7 linked regions of the Canis lupus familiaris genome follow. The protein of the gene in region 4 purifies or fractionates together with the protein of the main gene of each other region. This does not show direct contact. Links are inferred from orthologs where the notes say so. Each region holds a gene or a part of one and is shown on either strand. Other genes may lie near its edges. The genes, in order: CDK4, CACYBP, SERBP1, OTUD5, EEF2, CNP and SLC7A11.

Region 1 (3,979 bases), on a different chromosome or scaffold from region 4:
ATTAAGGCAGCAAAATATTCTCTGTAAAAAGTGGGAGTTGTTTCCACAGCCTCAGAGATGAAGGTCAAGACTGCCTTCTTAGTTTGGGGAGCTCTCCACTCAAGTGTTCAAAGGAAGAGAAAAGACAGCTTCTCTCCTCTTGCTACCGTTGCAGCCATTCCACTGCTCACTCTGGGTTACCTTCTGCCTTTTGTAGATAAGAGTGCTGCAGGGCTCGGAAGGCAGAGATTCGCTTGTGTGGGTTAAAAGTCAGCATCTCCTGAGAAGGGGAGGCAAAGATCAAAAGGTCATGAAGACAAAACAAAAAAAAAAAGAAAAAGACTTCCGCTCACCCCCAACAATACCTAGGATGGGCTATTTTCTACATCCCTCTTTATGGATGGCCTATTCACTGGCGCCAGTAAAAACTAGCCCATCCACCAACCAAGTCTTAGTAACCGCAATGCTAGTGCTCGGTCTTCCACCCCATCCTCAGCCTGTGCCCGTGCCCACGCCCAGTACCAGCAGCAGCTGTGCTCCAGACTCCTCCATCTCAGGTACCACTGTCTGTACTGGACGGGGCCCTCTAGGGGAAAAGGCTCCTCGGGGCAGAGACACATCTCGGGGCCAGTCATCCTCTGGGGGCAGCCCGATCAGACTATGGGGAACAGGAGAGCTCTGGTCAAGAGGGTCTTTCTCTAGCCCACATCTCCAGGGGCAGAGCCAACTGCCATGTGGGGCTCAGCAGAAAAAAGATTTGGAATGGAAAGTTTTTTTTTTCTCCCCTCATGCTGGTCACTTACTCAAAGATTTTGCCTAACTGGTCAGCTTCAGAGTTTCCACAGAAGAGAGGCCTAAGGTGGAAAAAACACAGAAGTCATGTCCAAAGATACAGTAGTGGAATAATTACTGGTAGGTAATGGCTCAAAACAGAGAGTGTGGGGGAATACAGGGATGTGAAGTTCCTAACTTTGGGACATTTCAGAGTTTCTGGTTAGGGACAGAACAGTCAACAATACTTAAGTGAAAGATTGGGCAGGAAATGGATGTGATCTATGACTAAGAGATTTGGTTTGGGAAACTCAAAATAGTTCAGGATGCTTGGGTCCCATACTTGCGACGAAACATCTCTGCGAAGATACAGCCGACACTCCACATGTCCACGGGTGTTGCATACGTAGACTGCAGAAGAACTTCTGGAGCACGATACCAGAGTGTAACAACCTAATAGGAACAAGAAAAGTGGATGAAGACCCCATGGGTTACCATGAACCATAACTGGTTGACTAAAGTCACAAAGTGCCCGACTTCTCAACTGCTACGGTCAACCCCTCTCCTACTCCCCTCTTGCTACTGACCACAGGCGTAAGTGCCATCTGGTAGCTGTAGATTCTGGCCAGGCCAAAGTCAGCCAGCTTGACTGTCCCACCACTGGTCACCAGAATGTTCTCGGGCTTCAGGTCTCGGTGAACGATGCAGTTGGCATGAAGGAAATCTAGGCCTCTTAGAAACTGGCGCATCAGATCCTGGTTTAGAAGGGGGAAGAACAGAGGACCTGGAACTAGGCACCATACCTGAAATCACAGCAGGTTCTGCCACAAAGGTCTCAATCTACTCCTCAGTGTCCACCCACCCTACTCACCTTGATGGTCTCCACTGGCAAGCCCGGTGGGGGTGCCTTGTCCAGGTACGTTCTCAGGTCTTGGTCCACGTGCTCAAACACCAGGGTCACTTTGGTCTCCCGGTCGGTTCGGGCAGTGGCGCAGACGTCCATTAGCCTGGCCAGAACAAGTGGTCACTCACTGATCAATCCCTCTGGACCCGATGCGGCCTTCCCCATTTCCCCAGAATCCCCACCTACAAGTTGTCTTTTCCCCTTTACTACCCACTCCCCACCCCCCACCTTCTCACCGGACAACGTTGGGATGCTCAAAAGCCTCCAGCCGCCTCAGCAATGCCACTTCACGAACTGTGCTGATGGGAAGGCCCCCTCCGGCACCTCCTCCATTAGGGACTCTAACGCTCTTGAGGGCCACGAAGTGGCCGCTGTGCGGATCACGGGCCTTGTACACCGTTCCATAGGCACCAACCCCAATCTCAGCCACTGGCTCGTACCGAGGAGTAGCCATTCTCGGATCAGAGAAGACCCTACAATCACAAAAGCCTCCTGCCACCGAAAATCCCTCAAGAGTTCAGGTGGTATGAGCCTGCCGCAACGAGGTGACTCCCCCACAAGGCATCACAAAGACCCCCCCTCCACCACCCCGTCCCTCTCCCCAGTTCCGTGAGGCTGGCTCCTCAGCTGACACAATGGCTCTAACCCCAACCCCGCCAGGGGGGGTTATTTAACCCACGCCTTAAATATAAACGTGAATCCCTCAAAGAAAGAATTCCTCTTCCTCGGGGACGGGCCGTCGCGCCCCGCACGGGGCAGACCGCACACGACACACCCCCTGCATCGAAGACTCGACATCCGTCCCTACCATTACATCCCAGCTGACCACAAAGGAACTTTGCGCGGGCCGCACTTCCCGCCCTCGAGCGACCCTCCCGTAACCTGCCCGCGTAGGCAGACGCGAGGGCGACAGCGGTCCCGTCCCCGGGAAGGCGCCACGCTCACCTCACTCGGCGCCGGGTGCTGCGGGGGCGGCCCGTTATCGGGGCCCCGGAGCCAGAGCCTGCGGCGCCATACACAGGAGCTCTGTCCGGGGCAGCTGGACGCTCCGGGCCCGACCATAGACAGGCCGCAAGCTAGAGCGGCCCCCGCACCCCCACCCTCACCATGTGACCAGCTGCCAAAGAGGCGCGCGGAAACTGGCGGGGCGGGGCGAAAGCCGGACGTTCGGGCCACGTGACGAGCCGCGCGTGCGCAGAGGGGCGGCCAGAGCGGCCTCGGCCGGGAAGCGGGCGGGGAGGGGAGAGGGCAGGCGGGGCGACGGCGGCCACGTGATCTGTTGCTATCACACGTGACCGCCCGACTCCGCTCGGAGGAGCAGAGGTGTGGCTACGCGGCGGGGCACGTGACCGACTGCCAGACCCGGCGGGGGTGCGGGGAGACGGGGGAGGGTGGAGTCCAGGGCGGTGCCATGGCAACCCGGGCCACCCGGCTCCAGGGCCGAGCTGCAGGCCGCGCCTGAGCGCTTCTGGCGCTCGCTCCTCGCTCCGCGCCTCCCTCTGTGCGCGGCGGTCAGGGAGCTGGAGACGAGGCGGGGGCGGGACGGGCGCTGGAGCCTTTCGGCCTCACTGCCGCGGGGAGACCTGGTCTCGTTTGTGTCTTTGTTTCATTCATTGGCTCATTCAACAAATTTTTACCGAGTGCTCGCTTCCTGTGTGCATGCGGGTTTTTTTTTTCCGGTGTCTCAGTCGCTGGCCCTTTAAAGGAGTGATGGGGCTGTCTGGAAAGACGTAGCCCCCGGTGGGGACAATACCCATCTCAGGGCACAGCCAGCACTAACGGACTGACGGAAGGCACACTAATGCAGTGACCCAACCGGAGGAGTGTCAAGGTGATGCCCTCCCATCTTTCCAACTTCCACCTCTTCCAGGGAGCGTTAAAATAAGACGGTGCTTTCTGGCGGAGAAATTACCAATGAGCAAGAGACAGAAACACTTAACCTGCAAGGTTCTTTGCAACAGGGAGAGGCAATGATATGCGCGTTTGTGTATGTGTGGGTATTTTACACATTGTGTACAGATGGACAGATACAGGAGTGAGCGTGTGCAGGGAGGTTACCTCCACCACCACCTTGGACCTCAGCACTGCGTGAGAATGATTTGTGCTCTTCCACAAACCCTGTGACTCCTTGTTTGGGGTCGTTCTGCTTCCCTCTTTCCCCCGGTGCGAGCTTTCTTAGTCCTTGCTCCCGCCCAGAACTTGGACTTTCCCAAATTGCTTCTGCTCACAGACACTTAGGTCGACAATAGACAGGTTCCTCTGACTTTCCTTATTTCCTAGCCCTTTAGGGGAATGAGAGTAAGGAGGGAAGAGATCAGTATCTCG
Region 2 (3,500 bases), on a different chromosome or scaffold from region 4:
CTTTTGTGGAATTCAAAAAGTGTATCTAGGTATCTGGGACTAATGAAATGGAACCTCTGGGAATGGACACACAAGCTACATAGAAGCACAACTGGCCGGGCTCCTGGATGGCTTATTTGGTTATGTGTCTGACTCTTGGTTTCAGCTCAGGTCATCATCTCAGAGTCGAGAGATGGAGAGCCCTGTGTCAGGCTCTGTACTGGGTGTGGAGCCCTTTAAGATTCTCTCTCCCTTGGCTGCGCCGCATTCCCCGCCCCCCCAAATCTGCTCACACATGATCCCTCTCTTAAAAGCCCAGGGTTAAGAACCAATACAAAAGACCCAATCAAAACTAAGTCCACTGTAAAAAGCAACTTCCTGGACATGTGCCCTCCTTAGATAAGTGGACAGAAAGATGTAAGATGCTTGGGTTACTCAGAGAACATTAAGAGGTAAATGGTCAAATCACATACAACTCTTATCCACAATGGCAAAGTGTTAAAAATCTACAATCCCAGCAAAGAATACATTAAAATTCTTAAAGAAATGAAAGTAAACTCACTCTTTCTCTTTGCATTCTTTTTCAACCTGAGTCAGGTAGTCCCACCGTGTGTTTTCTGCTTTCTTTCTACATAAGATAAGAACTGTATCTGTCTTGACCTGGAAGAAAACAAGTACAACTTACAGCATGTGGCGATAAACATGGTTATTTGGAAAACATTTACTCAATCAAGTTACTATTATGTTAAGACAAAAACCAAGACAAAGAAGGTGTTAATGGGGTTTGAGGGAAGAACTTCATTAGGAAAGGCCTCTGTGAGGTGAAATCTGAGCTGTGACCCAAGATCCAGAAGGGCACAGCAAGATAGGCTATAAAACAGGATGATTTTGGTGGGTCTGATAAAAAAAAAAAAAGAGTGTGTGTGGTGGGATTTTGGTGATTGAAGGAGAGTGATAGAGTAAGAGGGATCAGAGATAGGCACAAAGCAAAATCATATAATTTCAACTGTTTCAACAACAATCCATGTAATTCCCAGGATTCTTTTGAGTATTTATTCAACTATGAGATTAATGGATGAAGGAGGAAGCACGGAGACACAAGCTAATTAATAAATTATATTCTAATACTGCCTTTAAGCTGCTACATAATTATGTAAACACAGATGGCAGAATGGCACATTTATGTGCCAGCTGCATTAAACCTTATTTAACTTAAATAGAAAAGAGATTATCTGAATTAGTGAAAAGTGTAGTAGTTTAAAAGGCTATTTATTTTTATAGATTTTACTAATTCTAGTTAGGCTAAGTCCTTAGCCTAACTTAGCTTAATTAAGTCTTTTTATGTATCAAAAATTTAGGTATGGTGCTTCTAATAATAGCTACCATTAATTTAACCATTTTATATGTATTTCATTTCAGTATATAATTTCAGCTTTGTAAAATAAATTATTCCCATTGTACAAATGAGGAAACTGAGGCACAGAATGATTGAGCTGCCAGAAAGTCACAACTAGTAAGTGGCAAAACTGACATTAAAATTCTTTTTATTTTTTTGACATTAATATTCAAGCTCACTCTTAATCAATTTAGAAGCTTATTCCCCTCCTGATTTATTTTTTTCCCCTCCTGATTTAAATGCAATATTCTTATAATGATCTATTCTAGAGGCAAGAGTTGACAAAGGGCCAGATAGTTAATATTTTAGGCTTCTGGCGCAGCTACTTAATTATGCCATTATAACATAATCAGCGCCAGAGAACACACAAACAAGAGAATAGGGGGGCCTGTTCCAATAACATAGCCATCAGGCTGTAGTTGCTGATCCATTACAGAAAAATTCTAGTTTTTCTCAATTCTAAATTAACCTGGTTCAATTTAATGAGGTTTCACAATAAAATAAAAGCAAACTTACCTTTTTTGAACTGCCTTCCACAGAGATGGGTTTTAAGAGATTGTTCACAATCATGGAGTAACTCTTCCCATTTAGATTCTTTACCAAAAGATCAAATGACCTACAATACAATAGTGAATACATGATCTTTCTGGTTATATGAGAGGTGCTCTATAGCTCTTGTGGAAAAAAGCCATAAGTTTTATTTTAGGATGTGCATTTGTCCATCCTTGGTGATATTAACCTCTTCAAAGTAGGTGGAAAGGAGAATTCTAAATTTAAACAGTTTTAGAAACTGACAAGAAAAGGAGTAATAAGGCAATCTCTGACTTAATGATCATTATACTTCCCATTTGTGAGAACTCACCTCTCTGTGAAATGCACCTGCACATTCTCGGTGGGGACCTGATGAACTCCAGTTAAAGTAATGTAGATTTTCACAAATTTATCTGACTGATCCCATCCTAGTAATAACAAAAAAGGGACATGAATAAAGTCAGTAACTATCTCTAGAACAGCAAATGCATATGGCTCCTAAAACTGTTGGAAACTAAATTCTAGTATTAGAAACATGGGAAATATTAAAAATATAAGAAATTTTCTAGATGGAGAAATTGAGCTTGTAACAAAGCTACAAAATCTACCCAAAATTAGGCATCTAGCTAGTGGCAGAACTTCTAAAATCCAGGTTTTTTTAAACACAGAGCTCCCCCTTTTTTAATTCATTAGAATAAGGAATATGATCATTTAACACATTCTTTAAGAATAGTTCATTTTTCTACCACCACACACAAAAATAAACTTAAAATAGACAAGGACCAAAATGTGAGACATGAAACCCTAAGCTTCTAGAAGAGAACACGGACAATAGTGGCTTTGGCATTGGCCAGAGCAACATTTTTCTAGATGTGGCTCTTGAGGCACAAAACAAAAGCAAAAACAGTTATGTCCACACTAAAATAAATAGCTTTTGTATATAAAAGAACTATCAATGAAATGAAAAGGCCACCTACTGAATGGGATAAGATATCTGCAAGTAATCTGATTAGGGGTTAATATATAAAATAAAGAACTTGCATATAATTCAACACCAAAACCCCTCAAACAATCCAATTAAAATATGGGCAGAGGACCTGAATAAATGTTTTCCCAAAGGACATACAGTTAGCCAAGACACATGAAAAGATGTACAACATCACTAATCATAGGAAATACCAATCAAAACTACAATGAGATGTTACCTTACATCTGGTCAGAATGTCTAGAATTTAAAAGAAAAAAAAAATCATGAAATAACAAATGTGAGTGTGGATATGGAGAAAAAGGAACCCTTGTACACTGTGGGAATATAAATTGGTACAGCCAAAGTAGAAAACAGTTATGGAGCTTAATCAGTTAATTCAAAATAGGAATACCATTATGATTCAGTAAATTTACTATGGGGTATTTACTTGTGGAAAACAAAAACACTACTTTGAAAAGATACATGAGGGATCCCTGGGTGGCGCAGCGGGGTTTGGCGCCTGCCTTTGGCCCAGGGCACGATCCTGGAGACCCGGGATCGAATCCCACGTCGGGCTCCCGGTGCATGGAGCCTGCTTCTCCCTCTGCCTGTGTCTCTGCCTCTCTC
Region 3 (4,054 bases), on a different chromosome or scaffold from region 4:
ATCCAAGCCAAACACACCCAAATGAACAATGGCTTCCTTCCTCACCCAATTTCACTATTATGCTTACAGAACCTAAAAAATTTACTAAATAATTTCACCCTATGACTGACATTTAAAAATTCAAGCTTCTCTTAACCTACTTGTATGTACTTGCAAACTCACTGGATTTTCAGTCGATTCCAGGCTTCGGAAAAAAAAAAAAAAAAATTTAAAAACGCCTTGGTCTACATTTTTAGCGATGACATTCTGTGGTGTCAGTTCTCAAATTCTTCAAATGGACAAAAGACAAGTGACAAAACTCCTATCATGTTAGATACTGTATCTAAGGTATGTCTAGCATTTGCCAGGACCTATATTCAAAGGCAAAGATCACATAATCAGGTAGCAATTTTTCCCACTGCACGAAGTGGACTTTTTACAAGTCTATCCTTCTCCAATGCCCCTGAACATCAACTGACAGGTAGTAGGGTCTGAAAAAAAATCTTTTTCATTCAACATTTCCCTTTTATTTTTAAGACTATGTTTTATGCAATTTAAGAGCAAGACTGCTATGTATTGCTGATCTAAGGAAGACGTTGATAGCTAATATGGAAGTTTTCCCAAGGAAAGAGTACTAAATGGTGAACTCCATTCTGGTTATAAACTCATATAATAATTCTCCACCTCTGTAATTTAAAATACTAGGTCCCAGGTTAAGCGCTTACCTCCTCCAAGATGGGCTTTATGATCAAAACAACTGAGGGGTTTAAACCAGGTTTCATGCTTTAAACATTCAAAATGGGTGAAACACATCTACCTGGTACACTTAAGATTTAAACATTAGGCTCAACGTTTTCAGGCACTTTTTTGGATTAATGAGATCAAGGAGGTAAACTTGAGCAAAAATAATAATTAACACAGGCCTGTGTCCCTTAACGCAGAAATTAAATAATTATTTAGCTGTGCTACAGGTTGCTTTAAAACTTAAGATGACTGAATAGATATTTGGTCTAAACGAAGTATACCCAGCTTTCCAACACTCCAAATTCTGCTTCTCCCCAACCTGTAATTTTGATACAAGAATTATTTTGTTTTATTCATCATAGGTTCTTCATTCCAAGCATCACAGGAGTTCTGTATTAAAAAAAAAAAAAAAAAAAAAAACCTTGAGCCAAAACCTAACACAATTGGTGATTCTGAAAATTAGTTGTATGCTACAAAATTCAAAACTAATGAGAAACAACTTCTTTCAGGAGCACGTGGCAGTAAAAGGTAATTTCAACTTTTAACATAAAAAGGCAACTTTTAAAGTTCCGGAGCTGATCGGGTACACGTTTTATCCTCCAACTGTTTTTGCTTTATTGTCCACACAGAAGGCAAACCAGCAATAAGAGAATGCAGAAATCAACCTCAAGACAACCCTGTGAAGTTTACAGTGACCTCTGGAAACAACTATTACCCGCCAATGAATCCCGACCATGCTTCACGCACACGTGGAGAAAAAAGCTACAGATTCAAAAGCGCTCTGCTGGGGCTAACGTTGTGACAGCCTCTGCACTCAATTCACCACGAGGCCCCGGCCGGGCCACCACACGAAATATTGAGTGAGGGGGTGGGATGGGGTGTCGGGGAGAGAGGACGAGCTCAGGATTTCCTGCAATAACCAGTCTTCGTTCAGAATTCCCGCCTCTGCTTACCACAGTGTAAGCACATTTGTCTTCTCAAAAGCTTAATTCGCTCCAGCAAGTTAGTTGTTCTTACGAGTTGAAGGGAGGAGAGGGGACTACACGGCACATGGGGCACCTGAAGCCGTAGCTCACTCCACGGAACCCAGAAGTAGGTCAGGTGCACTCGGACCCCCGGCGTCTCGCTGGGGGGTACTCCGCGCCCTCGTGGGACAAGATGGCAGGAGAGGAGCCAAGCGCACCTCAAAGCAGCACGCCGAGGGCGAGCTCCGAGTGGGAAGGGGCCGTGGACCCCACGCCTGCCCGTAACTGCAAATGCTTCAGTCAGTGGCCAGCTCGCCCAGACCTCAGACCTCGGTCGCCGCGCCTGCCCGCCAAGGAATCCGGCGGGAAGGCAACAGCCTCCCAGGACAGCAGCGCGCTCGAGCAGCAGCAGCTTATCTCCGGGGCACGCTCCTCCGCTCAGAAACTGAGGCGGGAAGGGGGTGACTCCAGGAGCCTCGCAGGTGGCTTCAACTTGGGGCTACCACGCTCCCGGCACCTTCGCGGGACCTGGCTTTTGTAGCGCGAGGAGAAACGGGAGGCAATCGGCGGCCAAGCCTCCCGCGGGCCCTCGGAACTCCGAAAGCAAGTGGTAGCCGCAAGTCCCCCTCGCTCCTTCCCTCCATCCCGGTCTCCCCCACCTTCCACCACAGCTTTACCTTCTTTCTTAAGCGCCACGGGCGGCTGCGTCTCCTCTTTCTTGTCAACCACGCCAACGCTGGGGGGCAGCGGGTTCTTGCGGTCTTTCTGGGACTCTTTACGCAGCTGTTTGCCTGCCGCGCTGGAGTTGGTCTGGGCTGCGGCCTGAGCTGCGCTCTTGGCCCCAGGGCCCCCAACGCCGCCCCCGCCGGCTTCTTTTTTCTTGTTCTCTGCTGCCTTCAACACCTCAAAGGGGTCCGATTCGTCGTCAAATAACTGGTCGAATCGGTTGGTGACCACGCAGCCGAAGCCTTCCTGTAAGTGCCCAGGCATGATGGTGGCTCGGCGGCGCGTTCCTCCACGGATTGCAGCGGGCCGCGCCGAGCCAAGAGCGCCTGCTTCAGCTCTTCCCACAAGATGGCCGGGCCGAGAGAGGGGGGCCGGCTTCTCTTCCGGCGCCAGGCACACATCCGGGAGCGGCCAGCGCCGCACGGCACTATGGGGTATGTAGGCCAGAGTCGCTTCTCCTGAGGCGGCCCCCGGCGCCAAGACTACAATTCCCAGGATGCGTGGCGTGACAATTCTTCGCGCGCGCCTAAGAGGCGGGACCTCACGGAGGGAGTGGAGCGTGCTAGCAGAGGGAGTGGAAGCGCGGTGGTGGGCGGAGTCCTGCCACCTGCTCCAGCCACCCTTAAACTCTCTGGGTCTTGAGCTACACCGAAAACAGGAAAACGTGACGGCGTTTTTCGCTCGCGAAAGTTCTCTGTCTCTGGTTTTACTCACCCCGTCTCCAGTCCAGGACTAACTTTCCTCACCTCCGGGGGTGGGTCAAGGTGACTCCAGATTTTACAAACTTCTAGTGCTAGGGTGTTGCTGAGGTACCCCGCGGGCCTCGCGGAGGCAGGTCCCGATCCGTTCCAAGTCCCTAGCTGCCCAGGTGCTGGAGTCGCCCTCTTGCACCGCCAATAATGAATCGAGACTCTTCTGTTCAATGTGAGGAGGAATACGGTTTCTCTCGCGGGGACACGAACTGGGTTAGCGCAATTAATCAGAGACGAGTTGAACTGTCTCACAGGGCGGTGTTGCGCGCCTTTCCTGAGTGTTGCGATGGGTGCATTCATCGCAGCTAACTCCTAACAGTGCGGCACTAACTAGACAGAGGGCAAGCCTCGAAAAGCACTGTTTGTAGGAACACTTTCTGAAGTCAATCCAGTTGTCCATTAGCGTCCGGGAAGCCAAGGATTAGGTGTTAGTAAAATGTGCTCAAGAAACGTTTTAAAGCATCCGAGTGTGTAAGGGTGCCGAGGGATGCGATGAGGGTAGGGAAAATATGTCAGCAAATTAATTGCCATTACTAAAAGTATTGATATTAGTTGGGAATATTAAGGTCCAGTAAGGCAATAGATGATGTCAGTGCATATTCAAACATATTTGGTAAAACTCTTACTAACTTACCCATGTTACCACAAGCTAGGGAGTGGGGTAGGACTATCCTTAGCAATTTTTATCTTATGTATAGATCCCTGGTTTCCTCAAACAGATCTTTATGACTATCAAGTGTTATTACAATAAGAATACTTACAGATAAGCCCCATTTAGAGGAATTGTGTGGCTATGAGTTTCTGAGGTTTACTTGTGCTCCTCAGAGAATTTTACCTATTAATATAAAAATAAGAATGAGTTTTGGGGGAAAAGGGGAGAAATTTCTA
Region 4 (4,188 bases):
GTGTCCCTGGTGCAATGGGTCTCAGGCCCTGAAGGCAGACTTAGATCTATGGGTAGGCCTCAGGCTCCATCTCTGGGACTCCATGCTACCATGTTCTCTGAAGAGTTTATCTGGCTACAGTTCCTGAAGCAGAGATCTTCTATCCCTGACAAGAAGCTCAGGCCTTTGGAGCAGGGGATGCTAAGATCCCTGTTACAGGGGGAGAAAGGGCTGTTACATACCCAAGCTGTGTTTCATTCCCTCATAATCAGGGTAGAAGGATCTCATATCCCTGTGTTTGTGTGTGTGGAGGGAGTGTCTCAGACCACCCAAGGAGAACACTCAGATACCAATCCCTGATTTAAAAAGGACCTCTAAAGACCTCACCTTGCCTGGGACCTCTGTGTGGGGGGTATCCATTTCCTGAAGAGGCTTCAAACCCCATCTCTGTAAGCCCCAATCCATAAGCATGGGGAATCTTAGCTTCAAGTACCCAAAACAATGAGGCTTATTTTCTTGAAGAAAGGTTCAGACTGGGGAGGTTGGGGGACAGAAGAGCTGAAGGCCTATCAGTTAAAAGAAGCTTCAGCTCTTAGAAATTCAGACTCTTGGCCCCAAGGAGGTCTGGGACCACTGAAAGGAAGCATATACCCTTATCGCTTAGAAAAGGGATGAATCTCATGCACCTTAGTAGTTTCTGGTCCGAGTGTTAGTTTTGGCCCTTGTCCCCAAAGGGAATCTTAACTCTCTCGAAGAAATTTTATCTCCCTTAATAAAAATTCAGAAGATCCCCTTCTCTAAAGGGAATATATATGTGTGTGTACATCAGGCTCCTGATTCTAGAAGAGGGAGTCTCAAGCCCTTGAAGGCAGACTTAGGCCCCTTAAGGAAATCTCAGACTCGGACTTCTGCGTGGTCCTAGGCTGTCTCCCCGAAAAGGAAGTGGGAGTGCTGTCCTGTATAAACGGTCTCTCAGACCCCTGAAAAGGGTTTAGGTATCTCGGGGATGCTCAAAATTATCCTGAGGTCTCTACCTTACTTGTGTTCACACAAGGAGTCGTCTTAGAGACTTATCCCAGAAAAAAGGAAATCTCAAGGCATCAAACACACACCAGGTCCCCCAGAGCCATGAGACTCCCCTCTCAGGAGGCATTCCCACCTACTGGTCGTACGTGAGCTTTCAGGGACTGGAGTAAGGGTTCCGGGTTCCAGAAGGGACCACAGACTGCATCGGTAAGTCCGCCATCTTATCTGGGGCTTCTGATCCCCAAGTCCTTGGTAGGGGGCGGGGAAGAGAGTGTCTCGAGCCCCTACCATCAAAGAAGAATGCCAGGCTCCGGGAGAAAGCATAGGTCCCTTGGAAGATCTCAAACAGCCTTCCTTAGGTCCCCACCCAGTCTGGGCACTTCCATTCACCATACCCACTCACCTGTCACCCCCAGCCCATTACCTGCTCGACGGTTGCGGGGTCCATTGCCTCGATGCGAGCAGCAGCCGCTTCATACTCGTCTTCACTGTTATAACCTGCGCCGACCTCCTCACGCTCTGGACTGCCCCCTGCAACCGCTCCGACCCCGGGGGCTTGACGCCGACGCTTGCTGTGGCCCGGCCCAGAGCAGCAACCGCCAACGCCTACCGCTCCGCCCACGCCCACCACCACGCCCGCCGCGCCCACACCCGCCGCTGCTGCGCCCAGCGCGTCGCCGGGACCGCCGCCGGGACCAACAGGGCCCCCGCAGGGAGGAGGAGAGGCCTGCTGTGGCCGCGGACCCGCCACGGCGCCAGGCGGCACGGCCAGCGCCCAGCGGTGAAGCGCTCCCGGTGGCCCCGGTAGCGGGCCCTGAGGCGGTGGCGAGGCCCGAGGACGGGCCCCCACGACGCCCGAGTCACGGTCGCGGTCGCCGCCGCCCACACCCGTGCCGCCGCCGCCCACGCCCACACCCCCGCCGCGACGCGGCGCCGGGGGCAGCGGCCCGGGCGGCGGCGGTTCGTTGGTGGGGTCGGCGTCGGGAGGCGGCGGCTTCTTTTTGGGGAGAATAGTCATGGCGGCACCGCCAAGTACCCCCCAGCAAACCCGGCGCGGGGCACGCTGGGAGAGAACCCGGATGAGGGGGCTACTGTGGTGCGCGAAGCACGACGGGATCGGCGAGACCCGGATAAAGGGATTGAAGCACCGGTTCGAGAACCCTCGGTGGCGCGCGGGTCACGCGGCAGGAGAACCCGGATGTTAAGTCCTAGATGAAAGCACCGCGGCGAGTTTGTCGTAGCCTCCTTTCCAAGTCCAACAAGCTTATTGCTACGCTCGCTCGTTCCGGACTGCTGCTTCAAAGGAAACAGAACCAAAACAAGCACCTCCTCGCCCCGCCCCCTCGCAGGTTCTTGAACTACCGGGTGGGGCCCCGGGGCGCTGCGCACGCGCGCCAGAGCACGGCCCCGCCTCTCGTTCGGAAGTACGTGGGCAAAATTCTACGCCGCCGCCACAACAAGTGAGGGCACCAACCAATCGAGACGCCTGCGTAGGTCCTCGATGACGCCCACGGACCAATCAGATGCGAGCAATCGCCCTCCCGAGCCTTCGGTCTCAGATTTCAGTCAAAGTCGGCGCCTCGGTTCTTTGCCTTTCTTCTCGTTCACTCCGTCACACTCTCTTCTCTCTCCGAGGCTCTAATTCGCAGGCGGCGGTACTACAACAGGGCAGCGTGGCCGGCCCCGCGCACGACAATCTTGAAAGCGCTTCCCCTGCCAGGCTCCCAACTTGGCCGCAGTCAGCTGGACTGACTGGAAAATATCAACACTCCCAGAGCACTAGCACTCCCCTGAAGCGTCAGTTCCGGTCCCACCCACCTGCAAATCCACATCCAGAGGAGAGGCGGGCGCCGCTTCACCCTGGCAACAGGCCGAGTTCTGCGGTGACTGGTTAAGATAGGCCGTCACTCACGTTGGACCGGCCAACCCTGGGACAGACCTGCCTCGCGAGGACCTTGGGTGTTTGGGAAGCAGACACACCTTTGGCGCCGCAGCGCTCTCGCCCTCGCGTTGACCTCCCCGCCCCTGTGGCTAGTGCGCAAGCGCGGCACAGCCTTTCCGACCTGCCCTCCTGCCCCCCCTTCCCCCGCAACTAAGTTTACCTGGATGGAGCAAAAGTTTATGAGCCAGAGCTGTTACCAGCCCCCCTGGCAAGGGGGTTGGTAAAATCCGTGGTATTTGAGCGGTGGGAGAGCTACAAGCTAATCATAGCTCTGCCTCTCCTGTGTGACTGATTTTGGCAAGTCATTTAACACCCACCCCATCTGCAGTTTTTCAAAAAATTTTTTGTTTATTTTTTAGTAATCTCTGTACCCAGTGGAGCTGGAACTCACAACACCCGAGATCAAGAGTTGCATGCTCTTTGGACTGAGCCAGTCAGGAGACCCCATCTGCACTTACTACTTTTCTGTAACATGGAAGTGGTAATTATGACTTAAGGATCAGAGATGAATGCTTGTAAAGGGCCTAGTGCTGTGTCTAGCACATAGTAAGTAAGTGTTCAATAAACTAGTCTGAATGGCATGCAAAAAAAAGGATCCCAGGCTTGACGGTCAAGAAGACCTCAGTTCCTGACCCTGATGGATTGTTACCAACTCTATGACCTTGAGCTAGTCACTGTGTCTCAAATTTGAGGTTACCCAAGCAAAACGGGTAATGATAATGCCTGCCCAAACTACCTCAAGGAGTAGTTACAGGTTCAGATGGGCTTATGAATCAGGAAGTTGTTTCGAGAGGTGAAGGCTTGCTGCCAGTCTTAGGAGTCAAGCCATATAACATGTTGACTGAAAGACGATCAGAAAGCTCTTCTGAGTGCCATCTAACCTTCTTCCTGCAGATGCTGACCTTGATTGAAGTTCTTCCTTGAAGGGTGTCAGTTACAAATGGAATGTTGTGTTCACTGCTCTGAAGACTTAATGGGAGAAGATTCACATTTAATGGGCCTATTGTGTTCAGGGCACTGTGCCAAATGCCTATGCGTGTTATCACATTGAATCGTCTCATGATCATCCCACTTGACCTAGATTTCCTACTGGATACTTGTCCAGCACTACATGTCTAAAATTGAACTTAGGATAATCACTAGCTAATCTTCACTAAATACTTTCTATGCGCCTGACACTGTCTGCTAACAGCTCTGATGTTCCTTTTGACAGTGAGTGGCACCCCCACTCAGCCTTTGTC
Region 5 (4,095 bases), on a different chromosome or scaffold from region 4:
GAGTTAAGGACTGTGGTTCCCCACCTTGGGAGACGTGTGACATCAGCAAGCTGGTGGAGGAACCCTCACTTTCAATAGGCAGTTAAGCTACTTACCATGATGTTGCCCATGGGACCGCTCTCGCCCTCCCCATACGTAGAAATGATGACGTTGACGTTCTCCACAATGCGCTGGAAGGTCTGGTAGAGCTCCTCAGGCTCCAGCTGCAGCTCCAGAAGAGCCCGGTCCATCTTGTTCATCATCAGCACTGGCTTGATGCGCTCTGCAATGGCCTGCCGCAGCACCGTCTCTGTCTGCACGCACACACCTGGGGATGGGCATCTCCATCAGCCAGAGGAGGAGGTAATAGCCCCCGGGTCCCAGCCACACCGAGGGGGGTACTTATCGCTTACCAGACACACAGTCCACTACCACCAAGGCACCGTCGGTGACACGGAGGGCGGCAGTCACCTCTGAGGAGAAGTCCACGTGCCCCGGGGAGTCGATGAGGTTGATTAGAAAGCCAGAGCCATCCTTACTCTGCTTGATAAAGTTCAAGTCGTTTTCGGAGAGCTCATAGAAGAGTGAGATAGCCCTGAGGAGATTGGTGCAAGTTGGATCGATGGAAGCCACGTTTCATTGCCCTCCCAGTGACCCCTGGAGTCAAGCCCAGGTTCCTGTCCAGGGTTAATATGGCTTTCTTAAGTATCAAGGAGATTGTAAACGGTTAAAAAACCAAGTCCCACACTACAAAAACACCACAACCTGTTTCCTCTCCTTGCTAATTACTTCTTCCTGCAGACAGATTTCAGATTTCCCACAAAGAAACCATTCCACCCAAGCAGCTTTGCCCTCAGCCAGGGAGGTCCACCTCCCTCCTAGTACCAGCTACCAATAGCAGCCTCTGGGAGTCCACCTGTGCAGCCCCTTCATTCAGGTTATTCCCAGGCTCAACACACTTGCTTCCAAATATTGACCCTGTGCCCAAACTATATCTAAAAACCCTAAACTATCTCTTTCCCTCCGTTGTCACCTAAAATAAATCTCAAATGACCTAGTAGAACCTCACAAACAATAGATAATTGGCAGCTACAGGCACTACTTTGAATGCCCTTGCTCAAAACGGGGAGCCAAAAAACTGTCGCTGCACAGCATAAGATTTTTGGCAGCGTCCTTATGCCAGTGGCACTACCCCCACACTTCTCCAGGCACTGCCCAGAGCCCTGAAATGAAGCTGCCGGGTTAACCCTCTTTTCAAGGCTCCCCTGCCGCCCCACCCCAAGCATCACTGCGCCTCTCCAACTGGCTGCACTTTTCCATCACTCCACTGCGCCTGTCTGCCTCACAGTTCAGAATCCCAACCCCCAGCTGCTCCAATCATCTCCCCAGCAGCCCCAGGAACACGGTAGCACCTGCCCTCTGGCTTCTCCACCCAAGACCTGGGTGAGGACCTCCCTCCCATCCTCCCTAGGATATCAGAGCCTGCTCACGTGGACTTGATGGTGATGCAGCGCTCCTGCTCGTCCTTCCGGGTGTCAGTGAAGCGGGTCTCCCCAGCGCGGGCGGAGGCAATGATACCGGCCTTGCACACCAGCGAGTCCGTCAACGTGGACTTGCCGTGGTCCACGTGGGCGATGACGGACATGTTTCGGATGTTGGCCTTCTTGTCCATGATGGCCCGGATCTGGTCTACCGTGAAGTTCACCTGGGCGGGGAGGGGAGGAGGGGAGGCTCAGGCCTGCCCAGGCGGCCTTGGGACTTCACAATCGATGGGCTGCCAGGCCCCTGCCAGGTGTGCACACTGCAGCTGGGCTGGCCCCAAACCACCACCTGAACTCCATCTGTTTGCTGACACCCCTTGAAAATGCCACTTGCCCCGTGGGGGGGGGGGAGGGGCAACGCCGCCTGTCACGGACACACCGCAACTCGGGCGGGGACGAAGTCTCTGGCCCCGAGGCCGTGACTTCCCAGGGCACACGCTGGTCAGAGGCAGCCCGGCCGCTGCAGGGTGCAGGAAGGAGGAGGCTCCCCGCAAGCCCCATCCCCGCTGCCTTCTCCCCGGCCTCTCCCAACCGGAGATCCAAGGTCATCCCTCCAGCTGGGGGTCACACGGGGCCAGCGTCCCCCGGAGGGACGGCTGGGCGGGGAGCTCGCCCTGCCCCCCGCGGACGCCAGCCTCCATTTGCAGGCCGGCTGTCAGCTGTTCTGAGCCGGGACGCGGACGCGCCGGGGGCACAGGCAGGCGGGCGAGGGAGGCCCCCCGCGCTGGGCGGGGGGAGGGGCTCCCCCCCCCCCGCGGACCCCCCAGCTCACGACCCGGGTTACAGAAGGCGGCTCCCCTCGCCGCGCTCCCCACACGGCGCCCGCCATTACAGCGTCTGCCACATCATCACCACCACCACCACCCCCCCGCCCCGCCTCGGCCCCAGCTCCGGACCGGCCCGGGCTCCACGCGAGGCGGAGGCGCCCCCGGAAGCGGGGAAGGGGCTCGGCGAACGGCGCGTCGCGCAGACATGGCGGCGGCCGCTTCCTCAGCCCCGGCCCCGCCGGCGCCGCCATGTCTTCTCCACGTCCGGGCGGCCCCAGCGCTCCAAGGCCGAGAGCGCCGGCCCCGCGGAGGCCCCGCCGCCCTCCCAGGCCGCCCGGCCCGCCGGCGTCGCTCACCATGGTGGCGGATGGCGGTGGATTCTCCCAGGTAGATCCGAGCGAGGCGAGTCGCGCCGAGGATGGCGGCGACGACGGCGGAAGAGAACGTTGACGTCAACACCCGACCTTTTATAGGCAGAAGCCGGTTGGGCGGGTCATCTGACCGCGCTGCGGGGGCGGGGCGAGAAGCAACGCCCTGCGCAGGCGCAAGGACGCACTCCTCCGGTTAACCCTTCAGGCGCTGGCGTGGCTGCGGGAGCTCCCGGGGGCGGTGGTCTCCCGGGACCTGGGGGCACGCCTCCAGAATGCGATGCTCAGGTGCAGAAAGCGAAAGGCGCCGTTTTAGCTGAGAATATTAATCGTAGCAGCTCTATCAGCTTCCAAAATGCCATGCACTTCTGTTAAGAGCACTTGACAATGGGAAAAGGGTCTGTGGATTGTACCGCAGCCAGTTTTCTGGTTTTGCTGTTATGTAATGAATCCACTGAGGGACAGTGGAGCAAGGATACTCGACACCTCTCTGTACTATTTTTGCAACTACCTGCCTATAATTATTTCAAATATGAAAACCTTTTTTGAAAGCAGATGTTAATCACACGCTTATCCCACAAAGATAGATTGGCTATCTACTTCACCAAGAACTGTGATAGGTGTAGTCGCTATAGCAATAAACAAAACACCTTACCAGCCCCACCACTTTACCTGCTCTTACACTAGGTATTTGGGTTTTTCTGAGCCTCAGTTTCTTCATCTGTAAAATGGGGTAATCGGTACTACTTCACTGGGGGAAGGAAAGAGTAAACACATGCAAAGGGATTAGCTCTGGTGCCTGACACAGCACCCAAAGCACGTCAGCTCTCTTAATTAGCTATCATTGCTATTAATACAACATTTATTTCAGGGACATGGTTTGCTATGTCTCAGGCACAGGGCTCAGCGCTTTCCAGGTGCCATCTCATTTTCTATTTCATTTCCTCTCCAGCCGGAGGTTCACAAGTCTATTTTGCATTTGTGTCCTAATGTGACCCTAACAAACTATTGTATTCAGGTCTTTGGCTCGAGAGAACAAATCGGCATGCCATTCCATATCTCTATTCTTTATAAAGAGCCAACCTCAATGCTTGGTACGAAATACATGCTTAGGAAATATTTCTTGCATCATCAGTGAACAGTATTCTTACTAGCACAAACCCCATAAGGTACATCTTCCCCTACACTCATGCTGTCAAAATGAGAGGGACAGCATGGCTTTTCCCCAGCTGGGAAGAGGGAAGATGTGTATCCCCAAAAGGCAATGCTAGATGGAATCTGAGCTCAGCCTGTGCATCCCTCCTTCCACAAATGCTTTGCATGTTTTGCTTTGTAAAGCACTGTCCAGCCCTGATTGCATTTACACTGATTGCATTTACACTGAGGGTTGATTCAGGGGCTTTATTTTTGTTTAAGATTTTATTTATTTATTCATGAGAG
Region 6 (2,558 bases), on a different chromosome or scaffold from region 4:
ACCCCCCCAACCCCAACCCCATTCTTTCCAGTCTTCCTCCACCAGCACCAAGGCCACGGCGATAGGATGACTGAGTTAGGCCTGAGAAGCTCCCCCATTGGCCTGTACGACACTCCTGAGGATGGCCTTCCCTAGAGAACTGGTGGAAACTCAGACCAGCACCGTGGGTCTAGCTGAGCAGTCCCTCTGATTGTTTGGGGCTGGCACACCTGTGGGTCTCTTGCCTCAGTTAATGGGGGACGACAGGCTCTGCTCCACGTCCCTCAGACCCAGACACCCCCCACTTTGTGTGCATCTAAGATCAGCCGCTCTCCTTTCTGCCGCCTCATGAAAGCCAACACTGTTCAGCTGCCCAAGCTCACCACAGCTGTGCCCAGCCAGCAGAGGGGAGACAGGACCGATGGCCCCAAGTTGCGGGACAAAGCCAGTCCTGATACACCAGCCCTGGCCCCAGGGAAGACTGAGCTGGGCACAGAAGGGTGAGAGAGACTGCACACGGCCAGGATTAACACGGTTTATTTCACGGTCAGTCTTACAAGTCACTGAGGTTGGGCAAAGCCAGGATAGTAACTTAAATCTCAAGCACTTTCGTCCAGTGACAACCCGATTAGCAAGGCCCTGTTACTGAGCAGGGGGCAGTGGAAGGCACCCCAGAAACCACAGCACATGTACCAATGTTAAAAACCCCTTCCCAGAGGCACTAGCTGGGGCGTGGTCCTCACCAGCCAGAGGGCCACTCTGTTGGCGCTTGGTCCCCACCCACTGGCCCCCTGTGGAGGAGGCAAGCTGGACCCGGCAGACGGCAAGATGGGAGCTTCCCCACCAAGGTACTTGCTCTGGCCTCCATCTTCCCATCCCGATGACACAGCCACACCACTGCACAGGATGGCCAGCCTGTCCCCTGCCTGGGGCGAGACCAATAGCCAACTGGGATGTGGCTGTTGCTTATTCTTCTCTTTTCTTCCCTACTTGTCAAACTATTCCCTAGTTATAGTGTGGAGGAGGAGGGGACAGGCACTTAGGACTGAAGGTGGGATGAACCCCCCCACCTCTCTTTTCTACCCTGGTAAGAAGCCCCAGCCTACCATGGGGCTGTAATGATTAAGATCCAGGGTCAAAGCCCAGGGATCCCTCCCACCCTCTCCAGTTCCCATGGACGCAGTGACCACCCTGTGGGGACATGCAGCTCTGGGGCATCTCTCTGCGCTAGCCAGCTTGGGGCAGGGGCACCTGGGACAGGCAGCAGGGCTTGAGGTTGTGGCTGCGGCTCCAGGCCCAGGCTAGCTCAGCCTTGTCAGCTTCGCTCTGGGTTCCTGAATGGCGCTCCCCCACACCCCTCTAATGTTGAAAGCTTGGGTGTTAAGAGGGGACAAGGGTGGGCAGGAGAAGCTACAAGTTTTTAAAAAGTTACGGAACGGTTAACTTTGAGTAAAAAAAAAAAAAAAAAATTTCCTAAAGATCAAGCAGAAGGCATGCTTCCCTCTCCCCCCACTTCTCTTCTAGACCGGGGGGCTGACAGCGGTGAGAACACTCAGATGATGGTGCAGGACTGCAAGGCGCCTCCCTTGCGGCTGCCGTGCGTGGGCACAGGTTTGCCCTTCCCGTAGTACCCCGTGAAGATGGCCCTGACCTCTAGCTTCTTGGCCAGGCTCAGCAGCCAGCGCCCATTGCCCAAGGAGTAGAGTTTGCCCCGGTTTAGCTCACCCACCTCCTCACCTCGGCTGCCCCCCTTCTCCTGCCGCACAATCTCCAGGAGGTCAATGCCCGTCTGCACGGGCTCCACGTCACCCGCACAGCCGAGGGTGATGTGAGCCCGGCTTCCCCGGGGCAGGCTGTCGGAAGGGGACAGCTTGTCCACGTCATTTGGCCACAATGGCAGCTCCTGCTCGCTCAGCTCCACCCGGGCTCCAGCAGTCTTGGGCGTCACAAAGAGGGCAGTGATGGTCAGTGTGAAGGCCTTGCAGTAAGACTTCTTCACCACCTGCAGGGACAGAATGACAGCCCTAAGCTAGAGGTGGTAGCCCCTGGAGCAGACAGTTGACCAAGAGTGGGCTTAGCAGAGGTGGACACCACTGAGTAGAATACTCGGGTAAAAGCTGCGCACAGCCTGTGTTGTGAGAGGACATCTTTCTGCTGCCCCCATCAGGCTGATGTGAGAAAGTGGAGGTGCCAATGGTGCTGGACACCGGGAGCTGAAAGCCAGGCTTCCTGAACTCATCCTGGCTCCCCACCTACTAGCTGCAGGGCTTCGAGCAAGCCACTTAACCTCTCTGCATTGGCTCATTACACAGGGGTGATACTAGAACCTACCCCAGTGTCTGGATGAAATGAGTGTCTGGGTGAAGATTCTAGAACAGTGACAGGCATGTGACAAGTGCTACTGTCATTACTACTCAGCTCAGCCTGGTAAAAGCCACCATAGAGCCCAGGCAATATCCCAGACGACAAGCTGAGGTCAGAAATAAGTGCCTCTGATCAAAATCCACCTTGTACACCTTGGTTTACATCAGCTCACACTAATCAGATCCGATTAAATCTGATTTTCTGAGAAAGACCAT
Region 7 (3,500 bases), on a different chromosome or scaffold from region 4:
GTGTCTCTGCCTCTGTGTGTGTGTGTGTGTGTGTGTGTGTGTATGTGTGTGTGTCTCATGGATAAATAAATAAAATCTTTAAAAAGAAAAGACAGTTGGCTGGATATAAAGCAAGGGTTCTCAACCAGAGGAAATAAATAAATAAATAAATAAATAAATAAATAAATAAATAAATATTTAATAGCATTGAGATAAAGAAAAAGAGCCATCCAGACCTTACCAAAATAGCACTATGTCATGATTATCCATCTCATTTGAAATCCAAAGAGGCAGTATTTGTGAACTTGTAAACGTTTACATAAAATCTACTGAAAGTTTGCTAATTCTTTTAATTAAATTGAGGAATACACATGCCTACACTAGAGATAACTTTTAAAACTCCTATTGTAAATCTACAAATCTCTCAAAAACATTACCTCCATCTCCTTTTTGAATATAATAATCATGCTACTATTCTGCCTCAGTCATTTTAGGGACAAAAATATCATGGTTATAATAATGCCTGTTAGTCCAATCCCTTAGTGGGATACCAGATTTATCAAGAACTTTCTACAGGCAAGGCACTTTGCTTAAGGCTTTAAAAACCTGATGTAATTTCATCTTTCTGCAGCCATCCAAGACAGATTATATTTTCGCAGATATTTTACCAATAAATAAAAGTAATGCTTAAGAAGGTTTAATATTTAGCTCCAAATCACATAACTAAGAAATTATCACAATAAGTTTCAATTCCAGGCTGTTTGCCTTCAGAGCCAGAGCTGTAACTACTATGCTAATATAGTTCATCCCACAAAAGCTCATGGTATTAGATCTGAAGATCACATTGAACAAACTCTATTTCATTTACCGCCATTGTCCTACTGAGAAAACTGGAGATGTGTAATCCTCCAGGTTTAACAAGTATATTTTTCTACTAGAGAAAAATTCTTAGAAGTCTTCTCACAAAATCAGTGAGTCAACAAATATTTATTGAGCACGAACACCACACAAAAACCATGTGAAGGTCTAGACATATAGCAGCGAAAGAGCCCCTGGTCTCATGGAACTTCAAATGATGTTTTCCCACAAGAGCACAAACAGCTACTATTTGTAATTTGTTCTTAATAAATTGCAGGCATCACCCAAAATACTATATGTTTGTTGTCTCAGCTAATATCATTTACTCTTCACAAAACACCCTATGAGACTCTGCAGGATTTACAGGTAAGAACACTGAAGTGTGGAAAGCTTTGATGATTTGTCCCTAAGTCTCATATCTGTAGTGTCCGTTAGGGACCATGATGAGTTAAGTTTGCCATCACCCCTTCAGAACTCAGAAATCTTTCTTTAAAGATTTCACAGGATAATGGTGTGTACATGTTTGGTAGATAAGATAGAAAATCCAGAATGAACCTATGTTCAAAATATATGTATCTACACTAGAGATATTTTTATGTCGAATTCCTAGTTATTTCCTGCAAACAAGCCACTCACTTCCCTACCAGTAAATGTGCATTGTTCAGTGTTCTATTGAAATACCATAACGATACATAAATGAAAAATTTTTCATTAGGTATGAAATTCAGTTATTCCTGTGTCATTTTCCATTTCCAAATAGAACTTAATCAAACATGATTATATTGATTCTTAAAATTGGCTCAATTAGCATCTAGAATTAAGTTATTGTTTTCCATAATATTCAAAGGTTTGGCTTCATACCACTTATGTAATGTTGTGTATATTCCTCTTTTACATGTCTTTTAAAAAAATGTCTAGTATTTGAGCACATTGATAAAAATGAACAAATTCCTAATATGGAGACCTATTTTGAGAAGTGCTACCAATAATCAAATATTAAAAGCAGATTTTTATCATGACCATCAATGGACAGCAAAAACTGTAACACTGGGAGTGACAGTTTGCTAACATTATAAAATGTCTGAGTACAACATACACACCTAACACATGAGGAGCACTCTATAAGGATAAGTGAGTTATCATTCAACATATTATCAAGGAGGAAGGATAATTTCTAATTCAAAACTCCATAAAATAATTGGGATTTTGTCTGTAAAATTCTCTCTTCATGTATTATTTTACTAATAAAGTGGTTTTTGTTTGCCTATATCAAAAGATTAGCCATCATATCTATTGACCCAGTGTAAACTGACATAAAATGTAATACCAGAGATCATTCTGAATCCTCATTCTTTTCTTTATTTTCTGAAACAAATTGGGCAAGGAACTGAACACCAAAAGAGCATGATGTGAACAGCAATCCCATCATGCAAAAAATCTACAGAAATTTTGTCATCAATTATTTTGCTTTTTTTTCTTTTTCATATTTGTACCAGTGATACTCACTTATGCCCACAGCTGTAATAAGCTTGATTGCAAGTTCAGGAATTTCACATTGAATAAAAAATGGTTCCAGAATATAGCGTCCAAATGCCAGAGAAATCACAGCAGTGGCTGCAGGGCTGGAAAAAAAATTAGGTTAACAAAGGAAAATATAAGTAGCATCTTTACTGAACTTTCTCTAACTTGAGGTAATGTTATTCAACATAAAGAACATGCTAAGTATAAAAGTCTAGGGATGTCTGAGTAGCTCAGTGGTTGAGCATCTGCCTTGGCTCAAGGCGTGATCTTGGGGTTCTGGGATCAAATCCCACATCGGGCTCCCTGTATGGAGTCTGCTTCTCCCTCTGCCTGTGTCTCTGGCTCTCTGTGTCTTTCATGAATAAATAAAATATTTTATTAATAAATAAATAAATAAATAAATAAATAAAAGTCTATAATTTTCCAAACTCCATATTTGAGTAGGTTGTCATAGACATTCCAAGGAAAATATTGCCTATAACTTCAGTGGCTATTTTTAACTTCCCATGTCCATGGAAGTAAGTCTTTGTGCTATCAATTTTGTCACTGCTCTTCTGGATTTGACTTTTTTTTTTCCTTAAAAATCTAGTTTATTGAGATCTTGACAAAGCTGGGCTTTACAAGAAGCAGTCCTCCCAATAAGTCAACAACTAAACTCCAGCTGCAGCATGAATGGGTCAAGGGAGCAGATCGAATGAGTGGGGGCACAGTCAGGAAAATGAACACAAAATTCAACTTCAAAAATTATTATTAATAAGTGTTCATTGCAAATATACACTTTTGTCCTTACATTGTATTCTTCTTATTTTTCTGGTACAACAAAAACTTGACAAGCCAAGTAATTATTCTTAATTTTATAAAAACATTTAAATGCAGAGTATAAGTTGAAAAATAAAAACACTGTTGTGATTTTATACAATTGAGAAAACATGCATGAGATTAGAAAATTAAATAAGTTCAGGTCTATAGTAAAATAGGTAACTAAGCATTCTACTCTAATTCTTCTAATATTTCTATGAGAAAATGACATGTGACTCTATATTTCTATACAAATGCGTAGTCTTTCCATACACAGGCAAGTTCATAGAATTATATAATTTCTCCTGCCAATCTTTGCTCTCAGCTTCTCTTCTCATAGTTAC

Evidence for each region.
Region 1: the proteins of OTUD5 (region 4) and CDK4 purify together in Homo sapiens (affinity purification with mass spectrometry, with the first as the bait; 4 studies listed by BioGRID). This does not show direct contact. The link is inferred for Canis lupus familiaris from reciprocal best matches to the Homo sapiens genes OTUD5 and CDK4.
Region 2: the proteins of OTUD5 (region 4) and CACYBP purify together in Homo sapiens (affinity purification with mass spectrometry; 4 studies listed by BioGRID and IntAct, with this or other methods). This does not show direct contact. The link is inferred for Canis lupus familiaris from reciprocal best matches to the Homo sapiens genes OTUD5 and CACYBP.
Region 3: the proteins of OTUD5 (region 4) and SERBP1 purify together in Homo sapiens (affinity purification with mass spectrometry, with the first as the bait; 3 studies listed by BioGRID). This does not show direct contact. The link is inferred for Canis lupus familiaris from reciprocal best matches to the Homo sapiens genes OTUD5 and SERBP1.
Region 5: the proteins of OTUD5 (region 4) and EEF2 purify together in Homo sapiens (affinity purification with mass spectrometry, with the first as the bait; 3 studies listed by BioGRID). This does not show direct contact. The link is inferred for Canis lupus familiaris from reciprocal best matches to the Homo sapiens genes OTUD5 and EEF2.
Region 6: the proteins of OTUD5 (region 4) and CNP purify together in Homo sapiens (affinity purification with mass spectrometry; 3 studies listed by BioGRID, with this or other methods). This does not show direct contact. The link is inferred for Canis lupus familiaris from reciprocal best matches to the Homo sapiens genes OTUD5 and CNP.
Region 7: the proteins of OTUD5 (region 4) and SLC7A11 purify together in Homo sapiens (affinity purification with western blotting; 3 studies listed by BioGRID, with this or other methods). This does not show direct contact. The link is inferred for Canis lupus familiaris from reciprocal best matches to the Homo sapiens genes OTUD5 and SLC7A11.

Annotation. Positions count from the first base shown.
Region 1 is NC_049231.1:2,166,960-2,170,938, forward strand, and holds the start of CDK4 (cyclin-dependent kinase 4), read right to left. Parts: upstream 2,801-3,979; 5' UTR 2,600-2,800; intron 2,128-2,599; 5' UTR 2,109-2,127; coding exon 1,891-2,108; intron 1,758-1,890; coding exon 1,622-1,757; intron 1,506-1,621; coding exon 1,338-1,505; intron 1,204-1,337; coding exon 1,094-1,203; intron 834-1,093; coding exon 783-833; intron 638-782; coding exon 502-637; intron 260-501; coding exon 167-259; 3' UTR 1-166.
Region 2 is NC_049228.1:24,270,209-24,273,708, forward strand, and holds part of CACYBP (calcyclin-binding protein), read right to left. Parts: intron 2,335-3,500; coding exon 2,238-2,334; intron 1,992-2,237; coding exon 1,892-1,991; intron 640-1,891; coding exon 542-639; intron 1-541. UniProt on the Homo sapiens protein: May be involved in calcium-dependent ubiquitination and subsequent proteasomal degradation of target proteins. Probably serves as a molecular bridge in ubiquitin E3 complexes. Participates in the ubiquitin-mediated degradation of beta-catenin (CTNNB1).
Region 3 is NC_049226.1:43,506,274-43,510,327, reverse strand, and holds the start of SERBP1 (plasminogen activator inhibitor 1 RNA-binding protein), read right to left. Parts: upstream 2,801-4,054; 5' UTR 2,679-2,800; coding exon 2,366-2,678; intron 808-2,365; exon of another isoform or gene 793-807; coding exon of another isoform or gene 705-792; intron 1-704. UniProt on the Homo sapiens protein: Ribosome-binding protein that promotes ribosome hibernation, a process during which ribosomes are stabilized in an inactive state and preserved from proteasomal degradation.
Region 4 is NC_049260.1:42,311,294-42,315,481, forward strand, and holds the start of OTUD5 (OTU domain-containing protein 5), read right to left. Parts: upstream 2,801-4,188; 5' UTR 2,024-2,800; coding exon 1,430-2,023; intron 1-1,429. UniProt on the Homo sapiens protein: Deubiquitinating enzyme that functions as a negative regulator of the innate immune system. Has peptidase activity towards 'Lys-48'- and 'Lys-63'-linked polyubiquitin chains. Can also cleave 'Lys-11'-linked ubiquitin chains (in vitro).
Region 5 is NC_049241.1:55,972,687-55,976,781, reverse strand, and holds the start of EEF2 (elongation factor 2), read right to left. Parts: upstream 2,801-4,095; 5' UTR 2,647-2,800; coding exon 2,644-2,646; intron 1,685-2,643; coding exon 1,470-1,684; intron 575-1,469; coding exon 393-574; intron 308-392; coding exon 96-307; intron 1-95. UniProt on the Homo sapiens protein: Catalyzes the GTP-dependent ribosomal translocation step during translation elongation.
Region 6 is NC_049230.1:20,761,855-20,764,412, forward strand, and holds the end of CNP (2',3'-cyclic-nucleotide 3'-phosphodiesterase), read right to left. Parts: intron 1,982-2,558; coding exon 1,532-1,981; 3' UTR 501-1,531; downstream 1-500. UniProt on the Homo sapiens protein: Catalyzes the formation of 2'-nucleotide products from 2',3'-cyclic substrates. May participate in RNA metabolism in the myelinating cell, CNP is the third most abundant protein in central nervous system myelin.
Region 7 is NC_049240.1:5,026,375-5,029,874, reverse strand, and holds part of SLC7A11 (cystine/glutamate transporter), read right to left. Parts: intron 2,460-3,500; coding exon 2,344-2,459; intron 1-2,343. UniProt on the Homo sapiens protein: Heterodimer with SLC3A2, that functions as an antiporter by mediating the exchange of extracellular anionic L-cystine and intracellular L-glutamate across the cellular plasma membrane.